Linked DNA regions of Lepisosteus oculatus. The protein of the gene in region 1 purifies or fractionates together with the protein of each later gene. This does not show direct contact. Links are inferred from orthologs where the notes say so. Each region holds a gene or a part of one and is shown on either strand. Other genes may lie near its edges.

Region 1 (7,900 bases):
ACCATGACGGTCTCGTATAAAAAATATACAATGATATTACGAAACCATTTCTAGAAAACAGCTCCCCCTCGTTGAATGCAGCTTAACTGGTTAACCCCACTTTCATATCACTGCACTGCAGCACAAATGTGGAGAAACAAAAACAACGCTTGTAAGAACAGCAAGTTACAATAAAGGACAACTGAAGACAGTTTCTTTGTTGCCTTTGACTCATCATAAATGCTTTTACATGTTCTGGGCAACTGCATTAAACTGTAAACGGTAAATTGCATAAAGCATGAAAAATGAATGGAATTATTCTACTGGACTTTGCACCAGTCGAGCAAAAATTACAAACAGCACAGGTTGAACAAGAAAAAAAACAGCATGTGTTCGACCCAAGATGATCACTTCATTCACATGCATGTCTAACTCAAGAGATCAAGTAAATGTACAAATCATACTGTTCAAAGGGAAACATTCAGAATTGAAGAACTGAATGGTAGGTGCATTTACAAACCCAATCACATAAGGAAGGGTACACATGCTGGGAGAAAGAGATCGCAATTTTAAGGAACTGCAGTTACAAAAGCGAAGATGTACTGTAGCAGGACGAAAGGAAAGACTACAGTGACATTCGAAATCTGTGACCTGTTACTGACGAGGCCGTCTTGATTATTTGCCTCAAGTGCTACAGTACGTGCTTTGCAAAGCTCCTCATTTCAATTAAACCACAACTGAAACAATTTTCTGTATTAAAGCAAACGCATGACATGATCAAGGAGGCCAAAGAAAACACAAAACGCCCCGCTGTTTTCTTACAGACCTTGTTGGCATCTTTCGCGTCTACGATGGCCAGGTTGCTGAGCTCCCAGGCGGTCTGTCTCTTGAAGTCGCCCTTGTCCGACTTCTTCACCTTCACCACCTGCACATGCACGGGGCGCTCGGTGGTCACTGGAAGGGGAGAGGGGGGACGGCGGTCTTACAGGGCAGGCTGCTGGGTAGCGCACGCCCGACGTGTGAGGGGGCTTTTCTCACACTCAGCTGCGTTACTCTGTGCACCGCACAAGTTTGCAGGTGACACAACTTCACTCTTCAAGGGGTCAACAGCTTCCCTTTGCCACACTCACACGACCCGCTGTGCAACAGTCCCCACGCGCCGGGCGCAGCGGCAGCACCACTGAGCCTTAGCCACCTGCTTTCGGAAAAACAGGGACCGTCAGTGCAGATGAAGACTCGACGCTACACAGCATCAGAACGCCTACACAGAGGAACGCGCTCAGAAACGGGCCTACTCTCGGCGGCGCAGCGCGTCAAACGGCTCCGGAAACCTGGCAGTTTGCATCCAGCTTGGAGAACGTTTGGCACGCAGGCCCTGGGCGCCCTGCGTCACTGCGAGGGGCCGCGGGCGACGGGGCTGCAGGGGACTCTGGAGTGTGACAGCACGAGCCCTCCCCAGAACGCCGGACCAGGGGAGCTCGGCGCTGCTCTGGTCCCGCTGGCGCCACAGACACCCACCCCGTCACGAGCGGACGCACAACTCCCAGTCGGGCGCCCGTGGCAGAGGGACGGTCATCTCCCGCCAACGCGGCGCTGGGGCTCTTTTCGGAACGCACGATTTCACTGAGGTTACGTTTCAGAACACCACTTTCCCGGGAATCGGTTTCCTGGCGCGGGACTCCAGAAGCCAACAGGAGTCTGGTGTGATAATGACCGGATCTTTCCACATCAGCAGCAGCGCTCCAACCCCACCACGGATAAATGAAATCTCAATAAATGGCGAGACCCCATAATCCAGCCATCCAGCCGTTTTCCACCGTTTTCTCCAGAGCAGGGTCGTGGAGGGAGCCGGAGCCTATCCCAGCAAGCAACAGGGGCCAGGCAGGACTCACCCCGGGCCTCACCAGAGCACACAAAGGGCACGCAGACAGCACCCCGGGTCTGGAATCGGACCCAGGGCCCCAGCGCTGCGAGGCTGTAATACTGACCACTACGCCACCCTACAGCGCACGATTCGTGCTGGAGACTGGGGGGCTGGACCGCAAAGCGCTCGCGGGTCTCCCACCCACGCCCGCTCGTTTCCAGGCACGCAGCCCGGCCCGCCGGACGCACCTGTGGCGCACAGGAAGCAGTTCTTCTTCTTCTTCCCGGCCTTGCACACGTTGACGATGCTGAGGAGCCGCTCGTCGCTGGGCGTGAAGATGTCCCTCTGCAGGGCGTGCTTGATGGCCGTCATCCCTCCTGCTGCAGGCACACGCCGTACTTACTGCCGGGCACGCGAGGGCAGGGAGAGGGGCAGGGCTCCGTGCCAGAGCACCCGTTCGTACCACTGCTGCACGTTTGTTTGTGTTGTTTATTCAGCACTTTTGCAGGTTCTTAAAAACACCAGGCATTAAGAACACTGAATTACACTGCTGTTACAATAAAACCGTGCAAGTCAACCAGGGGGTCCCTGAACGCTGTATTTTATTTTTATTATTATTATTATTATTATTATTATTATTATTATATTCCTGGGACTGAGAAGCCTGCCTAGGCTGGCAGACTGCACCGAGGGAAGCCCTCGGGATTTCAACAGCCCACACTTCAACCAAGAGTGCGAATTCTGCAGCGCCGTGGATCACTCCCCAGCAACCCACGGCGCAGCAGAACCCACTTCCTTCTCTAGACACCCGCACCGATATATTTACTGCATCTAAATTACTTCTGAGTCAGGCGTCACGAACAGTAATGCGCAACAAGGAATTAAATCCCGCAACCAAATCGCGCTACTCCCTAATTTTAACAACAAAGGGCGCCATGCATCTGGGGCTCTGACTACTGTAGGACTTATCCATGCAAGACATCCCTCTTTGATATTTATACCGCTGAAATGGAAGACCCCCAAACAGAGCACATTTAGTAAATACGGATTAAGTGGCAAAACGTAAACGAACAAGGGATTCGGGCTCGCCCTTTTCCAATCAAAATGCCCCCCAAACTATTACGTTTAGTTAACAAGGAAAGCACATTTACCTTAATAAAACAATGTGTATCGGGAATGACAATATCTTGCCCTTAGTCGCTTTGTTTATCCATACAAACACAACAATACGAGCCGCTTTCCTGTCATGAGCTGTTTCCAAACGCAGAGCTAGCTAGCAAGCTGCCCCAGCCCAGCTGAGTTTCCTGTTTCCGGATAAAAGGCAGGACGTCACACTCAGGAACAGCGGCTAGAGGAAGGATAGGGACGTCATTAGAGTCAGGGCGCTCGGCTGGCCGGGGGGAACTTTGACATCACGTCTAATGCATTGTTAAATCCACTTAGAAAGTCAATAAAAGCTCAGAAAAATGAATATAATGCATTAAAAAAGGAAGTATATAGTATATAAATATAAAGTATCTAAATATCACTGTGTAGTCGAGAAATTCAATCCAGGGCTCCAACTTTGGGCACTGCGTCTGTCTTGTTCGGGTTCGAGTTCGGTTCACTGCGACTCATTACAACGATAAAGTGGGTATTGTGTTGTGTAGTAGGAAAGAAAAGACGTTTTCTAAAACATTTTAAATCCAACCCTGATTCGTATTAAGAGATCCCCTCATTGAACGTACCAGTAATATATTTTCTTTGTTACAGATTTTGGGTGCTTGGCTTCTGTTAAAGCCTGTTAAAGGTGCTTCTAAATAAAATGTGCATTTAGTCTCAGATACCAAGAGAACATTCCTCCAGATTAGCATGGGCTCCAGTTAAAGGAAAGGTTACCAAGAAGAGGAGGCCGTTTCGTGCAACTTGTTCATTTGGTTGCAAGTAGTTTATTGATCCTAACATCCCATCCGGGAGCCCTGGGACAGATCCAGGCTGCTTCCAGGATGTTTCTGCTTCACGCCCTGAAGACCCAGCCTGCCTGCCTGCAGCAGGGCTCATGGGAGGACTTCTGGACTTCAGGAGGATCCCAAGGGAACTGCAAGACTCATTGTGTCAAAGAAAAGTTTCCAGCGTTAACAGAATATCACCGCTTTTGGATTTTTGGCAGCATCAGAACTTTAAATAGAAAGTGAATTTGGCTGGTCCAATTTGCAGAGAATAGATCCAGGATGTCTGGTGTCACATTTTGTGGTTCGGTTTTGCATTCTTGCTCTTTCCTCACAAACACAATGAGATTCCACCCCGATGCTCCTCCTGGGAACTTTCATTTCAGTCAAGGGCTCTAGCCAACCTGGTTATAAGAACAGGGACACGGAAGCTGCACATAATGGTCATTATCCCTACTTTTACCCTCAGGGAGGTAGAGGAAGTCTACAGTAGCTGCTTTCTGTAACCGAACGTCACAATATAATAAAAGCAACACAGACAACAGTAATAGATATAGGCCCCTCAGATTGGGTCAATTTCAGTCTTAATCGATATGTAGGACGTGATTATTTTTTTAGTTATGTTTTATTTTTAATGCTTTAGAAAACATTTGCAAAACACCTAAGGATGTATTTATAATAATAACAATAACAACAAGTATATTTTATAAAGCACATTTAAAAGGATTGAATTAAAAATGCTTTATAATATATACAAATTTGACAAATTATTCTGGTTTAAAGTAATATCTTTTACCTTCAGTTTCTCGATTAAATTCTATACTGTATTTACACAAACTGAGAGGATTACTTTATTTATAAGACACTTCAAACAGACCAAGCATTTCAGTACAGGTACTGTACATCACAAGCACTGCACACAGTAAATCCACATGAATGACAAAGTTATTTTACTCAATTTAATAATTGGAAATAGGTATGTTTTTATTTATTATTATTTTTGCTCTAAAAAACTTGAAATGTATATATACAACTTACGTAGACAACTGTTCATTTTCAAATTATTTAAAATATTTTCAGATATTTTTAAAAGCATTTGTATTTTGGTGAACACAAATAAAATAACTACAAATCATCAGAAAGAAAATAAATAATAAAATTGAAAATCTAAGTGTTTTTATTAATTAACTTAATAACTTCATTGCATAACTTTACTAACTCTACAAGTGTTAGTCAAAAGGAAAAAACAGTGAAAAGTGCCGGAAAGTGAAGAGAAATTTGTATTTCCGATCAAGCTATTAATATGAGACAGAACTGTAGACTTTCTTTTGTTATTGGGTATTAAAACATAGTGTTAAAAGTTTAGAAATATGTTGAATGTATGCGTTTTTCACATGGGAGTGTACTGTATGTGTTACCTGGTCACAAGCAAACAAGAAGCTCTTACTTGTGAGTTTCACTGTGGTCAGCTGGACATGTACACATGAAAGCATAAGTTTCACCTGCCCACAGTTCGTCTGCGGACACGACACACAAATCAAATCTTTCATGGTTTTCATACAAAGCATATACGCAAATGCATTCCTATTTCACTTTGTTTACATGTGTTGTGGGCACCAGAGTGGCCTCTCTAATGATGACTTTAACCTATTGCTTGAGAAAGGAGAAAGAAAGCAGAATCCTAATTTCCTGCGTTGTTCATCCTACTACAACCCGAAAAAGCTAAATGAACAACAAGATGACCAAAAGCTTTCTTCTGAAGAAGGGGAATATGCAATGATTCAGTACACAGTCTGTTATCTTGTACATTGCATTTATAAAACCTTAACAAATCGTGAGATTGACACATCACTGTGTTATACCCTGTGACCCGACTGAAGGTGCTGCTGTGGTGCACTGAGTGAACTACAGCCCAGTTTGACTTCAGCCAGAGGCCATCAGTCACAGTGACAGACACCTCTCTCAGGCTCCCACCAGCAGTGATAGTGCTAACTGCACTGCAGACTGCAGAGAGGGGTCAGAGGGTCAGAGTCCGTACTGCAAGTGAGATTTCAGCTGAAGCAAAAATCTTGAAAAGAAACGACATGACTGTTAAACACGTCACGTCCCTCCTGTCTCTCTTCAACACCTTCACTTCCAGGCTTTGGCTGATGTGTTGGACACTCCCGCACACTGAGCCCCATGGAGAAGGGGCGACATTTCTGACTGAGGAGTACCGGAGCTCTGCCGTCTGGAAGCCCGCCTAGGAAACGGGACACAGTGACAGGCACACGAGGTTGAAAGCATAGAAGCAGATTTGCATGATCACCATGCAGTCCCCTCTGTTGGACGACAGGGATGTGGGCTCGATGTAGGTGATGTCGAAGTTCGCTATCTTGAGCTCCCTCTGGCAGTAGGTCCCGCTGAGCCGCGTCAGGCAGCGAGCGAAGGAGTACTTGGCCGCGCAGCTCAGGGCCTCCAACTTGTGCACTTTGTCAAAGTGCATGTCGAAGAACGGGTCATCCTGGAATGGGAGAGGAGGGAGGAATGCTTAGAGATTTCACACAGATGTACTGGGGGCGGAGCGGTGGCTCTGTGGCTCAGGATCTGCGCCTGTGGCTGGAAGGTTGCCGGTTTGAATCCTGTGGCTGGCAGAGGAATCCTACCCTGTTGGGCTGCTGAGCAAGGCCCTTAACCCCAGCTGCTCCAGGGGTGATGTACAATGGCTGACCCTGCGCTCTGACCCCAAGCTTCTCTCCCTGTCTGTGTCTCGTGGAGAGCAAGCTGGGGTATGTGAAAAGACAAATTCCTAATGCAAGAAATTGTATATGGCTAATAAAGTGATCTTATCTTATATAGACAGGCCTGTTACACAGTGGTTTTAACCTGGTTTACCCTAGCTGCAGCAAAGCACTGGTCTCTGGTCTCTGGGAAACCGAATTAGATTGAAAAGGCTTTCCTAGTGCTGTGCCTAGAATTGGCACATTTTACCAGAATTTGGCGGGTAGGAAAACCACCTGATAGTATATAACATCTGTCTAATGTAAAACAGAAAGCCATGACCTGCACTTTATGCTTTATCTCTAGGTAGGCAAAACATTTTTTTTGGCATTTGAGGAGCCTTGATATGAAAGATACAAAAAAGAACTGTCCCCGTTATATAAACGTATATAATATAACCAATATGTTTACAGGTTCTCAGAATTAGTACATAAAATGTATTGATAAAGAACAAGACTTTTCTAGCAGTTTCTAGTCAGAATGAAGATTACTGATGATGAAAGTTCAATCAGGTTTCTCAGCAAGCACTGCACATGTGGAAAAGAAATCACAAAGCATATTATTAAAACAACAGTTAACAAAACAAACAAATTTCATCAAATAAATTCATGCTACAGGGTTACAGAGAGTGTTAAGAAAAAAAAATAACTTAATGTAATGCTCGTGAATTGGAACTCTGATCAATTCTAGTGAGAATCCAACCTCAGCAGTAAAGAAGCAGCGCAGTACCCTGGAATATTACTTTAACCAGGGCGGCTCACCAGATCATTGTGAGGAGTGAGTGCATTAGATCACTATTAGATGGGAAGGCATACTTGTCTCATTCTAATAGTTCCAAACGACGGAAGAGAAGCACAGAGTGCTAGAGGAATCGGCTGGGAGCACTGTCTCTCTCTGCTTAACCACAGAGCCCTGTCTCCTCCATCAATTCTTCATTAGTGGCTAGCTTCAAAAAGGATAATTGCTTTGGTTCCCATAATTATCAAAGACATGACTTGCACTTTGTGCTTTATCCCTAGGTAGGCAAAAACCTTTTTTTTTGCATTTGAGGAGCCTTGATGCGGAAAAGCAATAAACCCGATTGTCCCTTTTCCTTGCCGTTCTGTAAATCTCTATTTTGTCACCCATGACATTCGTAGAAAGATGACATTAGGAGTAAAACCACTGTACCAAATAGAAAAAAGAAACCAGATAAACCAGGGGAAAGATTTGATTTCGTTTCTCTTGTTTTTTGCACGTACCACAGAATAATATTGCTCATTCTTGCGGAGTTGGAAATGCATGCTTGTTATGCAGCACCTAAGGGACTGGTGACCAGTGCACTTCCTCTGTAATTTCTCATCAACACAGACCCGATATTGTTACTGAA
Region 2 (7,936 bases), on another chromosome or scaffold:
CAATGAAAACATTGAAACCACTTTTTATGTAAGACTGCTTCTGAAGTGCTCCAGCCCTTCTCTGGAAAACAAAGCTTTAAAATAGATATGACTCTCTGTGCTCTGTGAGAGCTTTTTACCATGTTGCAATTCATCAGAGAGGAGACCTAAATGTTCCTCAAGTGCCTTTTTATTACACTGCCATTTGACAAAAACGACAATAGCTTTGCATACAAAACCCTTTCAGGGGGCTTTGAGTCTCTTGAGACTTCTGCGAGTGGAAAGAGTTTCAAAACAGGAAACGTACAGTGTCAGTGTTTGTTCATTTTCTTTTCTCAAAGAAGGGCAAAGAAGGCACTGGTGGAATGACCCAGCACCGAGATTCAAAGCAGACAGTGAGAGACATTTTAGTTTATTGATACCAGCTGTAGATTTACTGCATCTGTCCTGTCTAATAATGGGCAATCTTCCCCAATACATGCCACACTGCTGCACCAGTCTTTGCAATTCGAATGGTTCTATTTCCGATCCCTCCATATGAGAACAGTTTTCTCAAGTAAAGACCTGTGATACCAGTAGAGCAATGTCAAAGCTTTTCTCAAGAGTGAGCTCTAGGAGAATCAAAGTAGATGGGATCAAGCCAATAGGGGAATACTGAGAAGCTTGTGAACACCATATTTTAATTTAAAAAGCCACAGTGCATCTGTGCAATGAGGTTCTCACTTCAATGCATAGCCCACATGTTATCTTTTTAGCCACAATTCTTTGCTCTCTAATTCTTCAGCTCTTCTTTATTCCTCTTGTACCTTGTTCCTGTGTTCGTACTACCTCACACTACCAATAACAGACATTTACGTATGATGATCTCTGTTATTTGTCAATGACACTGTTTCAATTTATTTAGCACTTCATATGAGAAACGCTGTGGTAGCTAAGAATACTCTTCTTCAGACTCCCTCTTCTGGACGGCCGCTGTACTACGGCTCTCCTAAACCAAGCGGTCAAGCAAACACAAACAGACATCAGCACCTGGTAAGCGAAGATATCACGAAGCAAGAAATAATACGTTCTTGTATTTACCTGTCAGGTAGATTTCAAAGCTTTGATATTGATTCCAGACAGTCAATAAATGCAGTACACCTTAAATGGCCAGTAGGAGCCTAACTAAACTATCTAATCTCTAGATTGACAGGGAACACAATAAACTCTGAATTTAACTAACTGCAAACACTGAAGATGCAGGCCTGTCTCATTAAAGAGCAACTTAAGCTATCAAAACTGTCTAGGGTTTTGGCTCTGGTCACAGAACAAGGTCTGCACAATCTTAGAATCTCTGTTAAGATTAGTCAGACAGAGGGTAACACTTTGTCTAATAGTTGTTCCTTAATATTAATGAAGCCGACAGGATAGACTCTTGAGACGGGTTCATTGTTTAAGAAAAGGATTGTTTTGCCTGTTTGAGACAGATGAAGGATAAATTCAGAATGTGCAGAATGTAAATCAGATTTAGGAAAGACATCACATCAGATTAGTTTGAGATATTATTCTTTTGATCTTTCATTTTCAGTTTTAGACAAGAGCCATCAAACAAAAAGAGTAAAATATATATGCATTAATGTGATGTTTACATATGTACATGTGAAAAGAATAGATCGGGGTTTTCCCATTAATTAGAACATTTCTAATTGTATTCCCTATAAATGCAAGATTATTTTGAAAATATAAATCTATCAACAAAATATTTGAATCATGCAATGTACTGGGCGTTTTAATTTTACAAAATATTGTCATATGCAGACATATTTTCGCAATTATTATACATGCTCAAATAATATTTCTGAGTGAAAGGCTAATTATTTCAAATTGAAACTTCCGTAATCTGCTAACGCAGGTAAGGGTCTTTCCTCCTATTTCAAAGTGCCAACTCGTCAGTGTCAAGGCTGTTAAACCTTCATACTTTAGTTTGGTACCAGACACCTACTGCTAATACGTGAGGTTTAATGCTGCTGTTCAGGAGGCAAGACTGTCACGATCGGTTAGGATTTTGGTTCGATTCCTACTGGGGTCCAGATGCAAAAGTTGCTGTTATTCCTTTGTCTGCCTGGATATCCTCCACATATTCCGGTTTCTTTCCAAAGGATTGCGATCTGGGATATCGAAATTGTGTTTGTGGCCTGCGATGGACTGTCGTCCTGCATGGGTATAGTTCGGCTTTGCACCAGATGGTACCGGGATATCAACCGGGAAGACGCAGCCATTAGAGGGAATGAGTTAAGGATAACATCACATTTTTAAATTGTGACTCATGTGACAAAAGAGTGGCTAACATAGTTCCACAAAACGCCAAGATCAGCGTTTCATAAACTTTGAAACCTTTGAAACTTTGAAACCTCAAAGTTTCAAAGCTCTGAGACAGTGAAAGTCCAAACGGGGGATGGAAAGAGTTAACAAAAATATCTGCATCATTTATCTGATCAGAAAAGAGAGGGGGTTTCAGTTTCCTGTGATACCATAATCTGCGTTTCAGAAAGGTTTGGGGTGGTGGTGGAGGAGGAATGAGGGGAGAGGGGGGTGTGAGGAGAGTTGAAGCAGAAGAAGAAAGAAATGTTATCCACAGGCGTACGTGGAAGCCCTGACCTGCAATATTCAGGATTCGAGGATCCTGGCTTTACTGGGATATTTTTTCTTTGATTTATCATTAACGCTGACACTGTATCCGCCTGATAAATGACCTTTGCGAGAATGTCAGCACACGAGTTCCAACTTACAATACGATCTAGCCGCGCGGTGTTCCTGTGCTCCAGAAACGTTTCCTTTACACGCATGTCTTGTTTTTCTCGGTACAATAAGGAAACCCCCATTGTTAGGGCTTCTTTTGAAAATCAGTAAAATGTAGATTAAAGATAAATGTAAATTTGCTTACATCACCTACTCGGTTCTGTACCTATTGTGTAGTATGTTTTACAGTGAACAAAATCAAGTCATGTACATGTGTGTAAAGCATCAGACATGTTAGGGATTAAATACCAAATTTTATGAGGAAAAACGAATATACGCTTTTATAAAGTTTGGGGATTATACAGTAGCTGCCTCCCGAGGTTCATGTTTAATAACCATACAACGTCCATTTTGAAATTAAGTAGAAATAAGATAAGACATGCAAAGAAAATGTTGTATTTTTGAGAATAAGATTACTTTTAGAGAAACAGAAACGATTACTTATTCTCCTATTTCAGCACAATCCCTACAATGACAATGACTATGTTTTCTCCTAATTTTTGGATGAGTACATTTAAGAGTTAACTGAGATTTAAGATAGTTATTAAACAAATAAGCAACTAAGATTTTGATTCTTGGATTCGGAGGGTTGTGGATGACAAGGGCATTGCTTTTCCTTCTGCTGTGTGATTTTGCTGACCGCAGCAGGAAAGCTATCCAGCCCTCACCAAAACTCCTTCTCTTATTCTGAAAGCTCGCAATGGCCAACAAAACCATTAAGTCCCTATCACCCAGTGTCCTGGGGGAAGAGAATCGAGAAGATAAAGTGTATGAAAATTTTTTTGCAGAACTAGAAACACTTGGCTTACCTTTGGGAACAACTCTAAGGTAGGGATCTTAAACCCATTTTTAAAGTTAAAAGCAGGAAAGAAAAGTAAAATGCTAAGTGTGTGCTCGTGTCTGTTATTCCTGGAACTTAAATGGCAACTCTTTTCAACAATAGCCGCATTTAGGAAAATAGAAAAATAGAGTAAGAGTCACGGAATGGACTGTGAACTTCTGTGAAGTAATAATTAAACCGAATAAACTGTGGTGTTTCCTGGTAGGACGTTCGAACAAAAGTACGCTGTCCTTCAATTACTATCACTCTTAAACTGAGATTTTTCCTAATATTATATCCGCTATTGCGCATTTTTAAATTAAGAAAACGAACATGTTACGGGTTGTAGACTGTTGTACTCGATTCGGGTTAAACACGCTTCATTGAAATGTGTCTAAGGAGATCTATTTCGCCACTATTTTCCCTATCATGTTTAATTATACCAAGGGACAAGTATTTTTGTTGTTTCTAACTGACTAGACCATACTCTTACAAGAACAATGTACTGTTTATTTCTCTTTTCTTAGTAGGTAAATGTATTTCTTCCCAAGGGATTGGAATGGAACTTTAAACATTAAGATAGCATCATTTAATCTAACCGTACTATACACTGAATACAGAAATAAGGAATCCTCTTGTGATCCATTTTTTTGTTCTGTGCTACATATTATTTTCACCGCAGTGGAGCAAGGCGAGGATAACTCCACACTGTGAAGTGAAAAGAAAGACGACAAAACCACAAGTTTCGTGTGTGATGCCATATTCACACACCTGAAGTACTCAACATCTAGCACATTGTGTTTTCTTTTCCTTTTACGTCGCAGAATGTATTTCTGTTCTTTAACGTTCCCAGGATGTTCTTTTTCTCCAGAGCGCTGTTACTTGAGTAAATAACATTTTATGAAACGTTAGAGTATTTCCAATTTGAGAGAAAAAGGGTGCATATGTGTGAGTGCACGTCACTCTGAAAAAAAGATCATTTAATATGATGCCAATTTACATGAGACAAACATTAATAAATACTGTAAGGTAGCCCTGTAATGAAAACATTCAACAACCAATCAAACGAAGCATAAGTCTTTGTTTAAATGGGAATGTTTATTTTCTGCAAACGTGAATCACCATGTGTATGGCGGTCCATGATTTTATGTTTGAAGCAGGTAAGAACACATAGGCTACATACTCTGAACATGCTTAATCCAGCAAAATCAATTCTTCCCCTTTGGAACACCTGCTGCCAACTTCACCGCCGACTCGCCCCCTAGCGCCGACTAGAGGCAGCACTCTCGTTCCCCGCAGTGTCACTTTGTCACCGAGAGCACAACAAACATGGCGGAGACTGCAACCTTGGAGAGTATCACCGAGCATGAACGTATCCTGCAGGAAATCGAGAGCACAGACACTGCCTGCGTCGGCCCTACGCTTCGGTAGGGAGAGAAACGTTTTGCCGTGCTCACCTTCGTTGAATCATAGTTGTAATTTCTACCTAAGACCTTGCAAGTGTATTAATTTAGCGGCCGGGCCTTTGTTAGCTATTGCTGCTAACCAGCTGAGCTTCCTGAACTGCGGCACAAGCAGTCGTCTGCTTCTTACTTCCTAGTTTGAAATAAATACTAATGCAATTAAACAGCACAATGTCTCGTTACATTTGTATACTATGTTATCGATTTATGTCTGTATACTTAAATAGTGCCAACAAAACGATAACCCGATAGTTATTTTAAGAAATAAGTGTTAGGGATTTACAAAACTGCAAATTGCAAGAGTAGGTAGTGTTTAAATGAAAGGGAGTAAATGCATATAGGCCATAGGACCGTTGTTTCTGCATATAGCGGTTCAATATGAATTTATGTATGCTTGTTATTGTCTGAAATATACGATGGGAACAGCTTCAGTACGACTGTGTACATTTATCTTGAGAAATTCTGTAGAGATTATAATAATTTGGTCTCAGAAACAGTTATTATAAGTGGGTGTGGTGGGATATCTGAAGGTTGTTACACTACACAGAAAATAAACTGATGCTGTTTCGATAAGGGGTAGCGCTTGCTTGTGATCCCCTTCTCAGTATCCGTTCAGCACGATGTTGCTAGCGCGTGATTTCGCGTTTGGAGAATGTTGATTAAAAGCGATTCTGAATGCCGGTTTCTGAAGCAAAGCACAGATAGTATTAACTACGGCGTAATAAATATAGAAAAAATCTAGGTGGGACATCCATTCAACCAAGAAATCTTGACTGTAGCCTGCTTGAGACCTTCGCTCGAAACAATTGCAGAACAAACCACGGGTCAACTAATGACGGCAGACATTTTTTTTATTTAAAAAATGTTAAATTCCAGGAGGGTTAATTATACCTTTGAACGTGTCTTCTGAAGAACAAAGAAATATTTACGTCTAATTAAAATGCATAAGAAAGGAAGGGGGTGTTTAGGAAATTCAAAAAATCTCTTTTGGCATGTATGGGCATGTAGTGCCTTATAACGTCAAAGCTCTGCCGAAGCAAGATGAATTAAGGATGGTACCGATTCCCTGTCCTATTTAGTGCATAATATATTGTATGGCATACCTTATAATAGTTCAAACGCACGCTTTTTTTTACAGTTGCTGTGAGTCTTCAGAGTACTGGCATTAGACGTTTTGCGTCACCTGCTGCAAGAGTTATTGATTTCATGAAATACACATACCTTTAAAAGCACAACGGATACACCATCTTTTGGTAGCTAACGAAAATGCTCATCGAGCAACTAGTTCATTTTACAATTTGAAGGCGGAAAATGTATTTTTGTGTGTCCCTCACTGAAGGGATCGTTTCTCCCATTCGTTTATCTGTGAAGTAGGTCACAATTACCGAATCGCCCTGATTTGTGGAGGCGCTCTGTGGGTTTCCTCTTAAGCACACTGTAGATCTGATTTTCAGTGTTGGTGCGTTAGATTTTTGTGGAGTTTTTCTGTTTCTCTTCCTTACTGGTAGGAGTTTCTTTTTTGTGGAAAAATTCTGTAATGGGAGTTTAGTGCTCCAAATGTATTATGCATTTTCGAGATTGTGTTTAAATGCACAGTAAAAATGATATAACCGTACCTATGTATCAGGCTTTACAGTCTAGCCATTGACATTGGCACAGCCAGTTCTTTCTGATTGTTCAGATGAGTTAACTCAGTGGTCTAGTGAAGGAGATGGTTTTCTCAGGTGCACTGAACTGTACTGGAGTGGCTTCAAGCCTCAGTATGGCTTTCACAGCATATTGAAAGTATATTGGATGGAAGAACAAAAAGCTAGTTTGAACAGCTTGACTCTGAAAACCTTAGTGTCATCGTTCGTGCATTGGCTGAAATGCAGTTGTTCTGTGGTACATTACAACATAACCATCCATCTGATTTCTAACTGCTCCAGCCAGTTCAGGATCACGGGGTATCCGGAGCCTATCCCATCAAGCAACAGGCACGAGGCAGGAAACACCCTGGATGGGATGCCTATCCATCAAAGGGCACACATAGACACAAACACAGATACACACACCACGACCAGTTTTGTGTATCAGATAGCACCCTAGGTCTGGAATTAAGCAGCAATGCTAATCACTGCACCTCCATGCCATAACCAGATTTTCCAATACTCATGTGCAAATTCAATTCGAATAGATTTAAGATTGTGTTAACCCCAGTTCATCCAAGTGAGACTTGCTAATCACTCCTCTTTCAGATACTGTTTAGCTCACTGTTAAATTCACCTTTTAAAGTCCTTAATCTTAAAAGGTTGCTTAAATCACAGGTGGGAATCTAATTGGCTTTGCGTATTGACTAGGGCAGGCCTTTTGACATGGAAATATGTAACACTAGCTAATCCACAGAGAATAACTGCCGTGTAGAAATGCTCATGGTGAGCACCTGCTGTACTGGGAGTGGAGGTTCCGGACAGAGCATTGCTCACAAGGATTGCATCAGTTCATAACTGCTGTGGTTTCATTGTGGACTGGGGGACTAAAATGTATCGTAATTGCATTGTTTAAAAAAACTGGTTTACAGTAAGGCCCAGAGATATAAAAAGAACCTGAGAAAAATAATAATAATAATAATAATAATTGCTTACACTTATATAGCGCTTTTCTGGACACTCCACTCAAAGCGCTTTACAGGTAATGGGGACTCCCCTCCACCACCACCAATGTGCAGCCCCACCTGGATGATGCGACGGCAGCCATAGTGCGCCAAAACGCTCACCACACATCAGATATCAGTGGGGAGGAGAGCAGAGTGATGAAGCCAATTCATAGATGGGGATTATTAGGAGGCCATGATTGGTAGGGGCCAATGGGAAATTTGGCCACGACGCCGGGGTAACACCCCTACTCTTTTCGAGAA

The links. The genes of interacting proteins can lie anywhere in the genome.
Region 2: the proteins of exoc1 (region 1) and exoc6 purify together in Homo sapiens (affinity purification with mass spectrometry; 4 studies listed by BioGRID and IntAct, counting the BioPlex papers as one, with this or other methods). This does not show direct contact. The link is inferred for Lepisosteus oculatus from reciprocal best matches to the Homo sapiens genes EXOC1 and EXOC6.

The regions. Positions count from the first base shown.
Region 1 is NC_090696.1:77,656,229-77,664,128, forward strand, and holds the start of exoc1 (exocyst complex component 1), read right to left. Parts: upstream 3,157-7,900; 5' UTR 2,995-3,156; intron 2,355-2,994; exon of another isoform or gene 2,224-2,354; 5' UTR 2,216-2,223; coding exon 2,092-2,215; intron 934-2,091; coding exon 806-933; intron 1-805. Other genes in the region: exoc1l (exocyst complex component 1-like), read right to left, coding at 6,014-6,274.
Region 2 is NC_090699.1:23,699,192-23,707,127, reverse strand, and holds the start of exoc6 (exocyst complex component 6), read left to right. Parts: upstream 1-4,871; 5' UTR 4,872-4,906; coding exon 4,907-5,004; intron 5,005-7,936. UniProt on the Homo sapiens protein: Component of the exocyst complex involved in the docking of exocytic vesicles with fusion sites on the plasma membrane.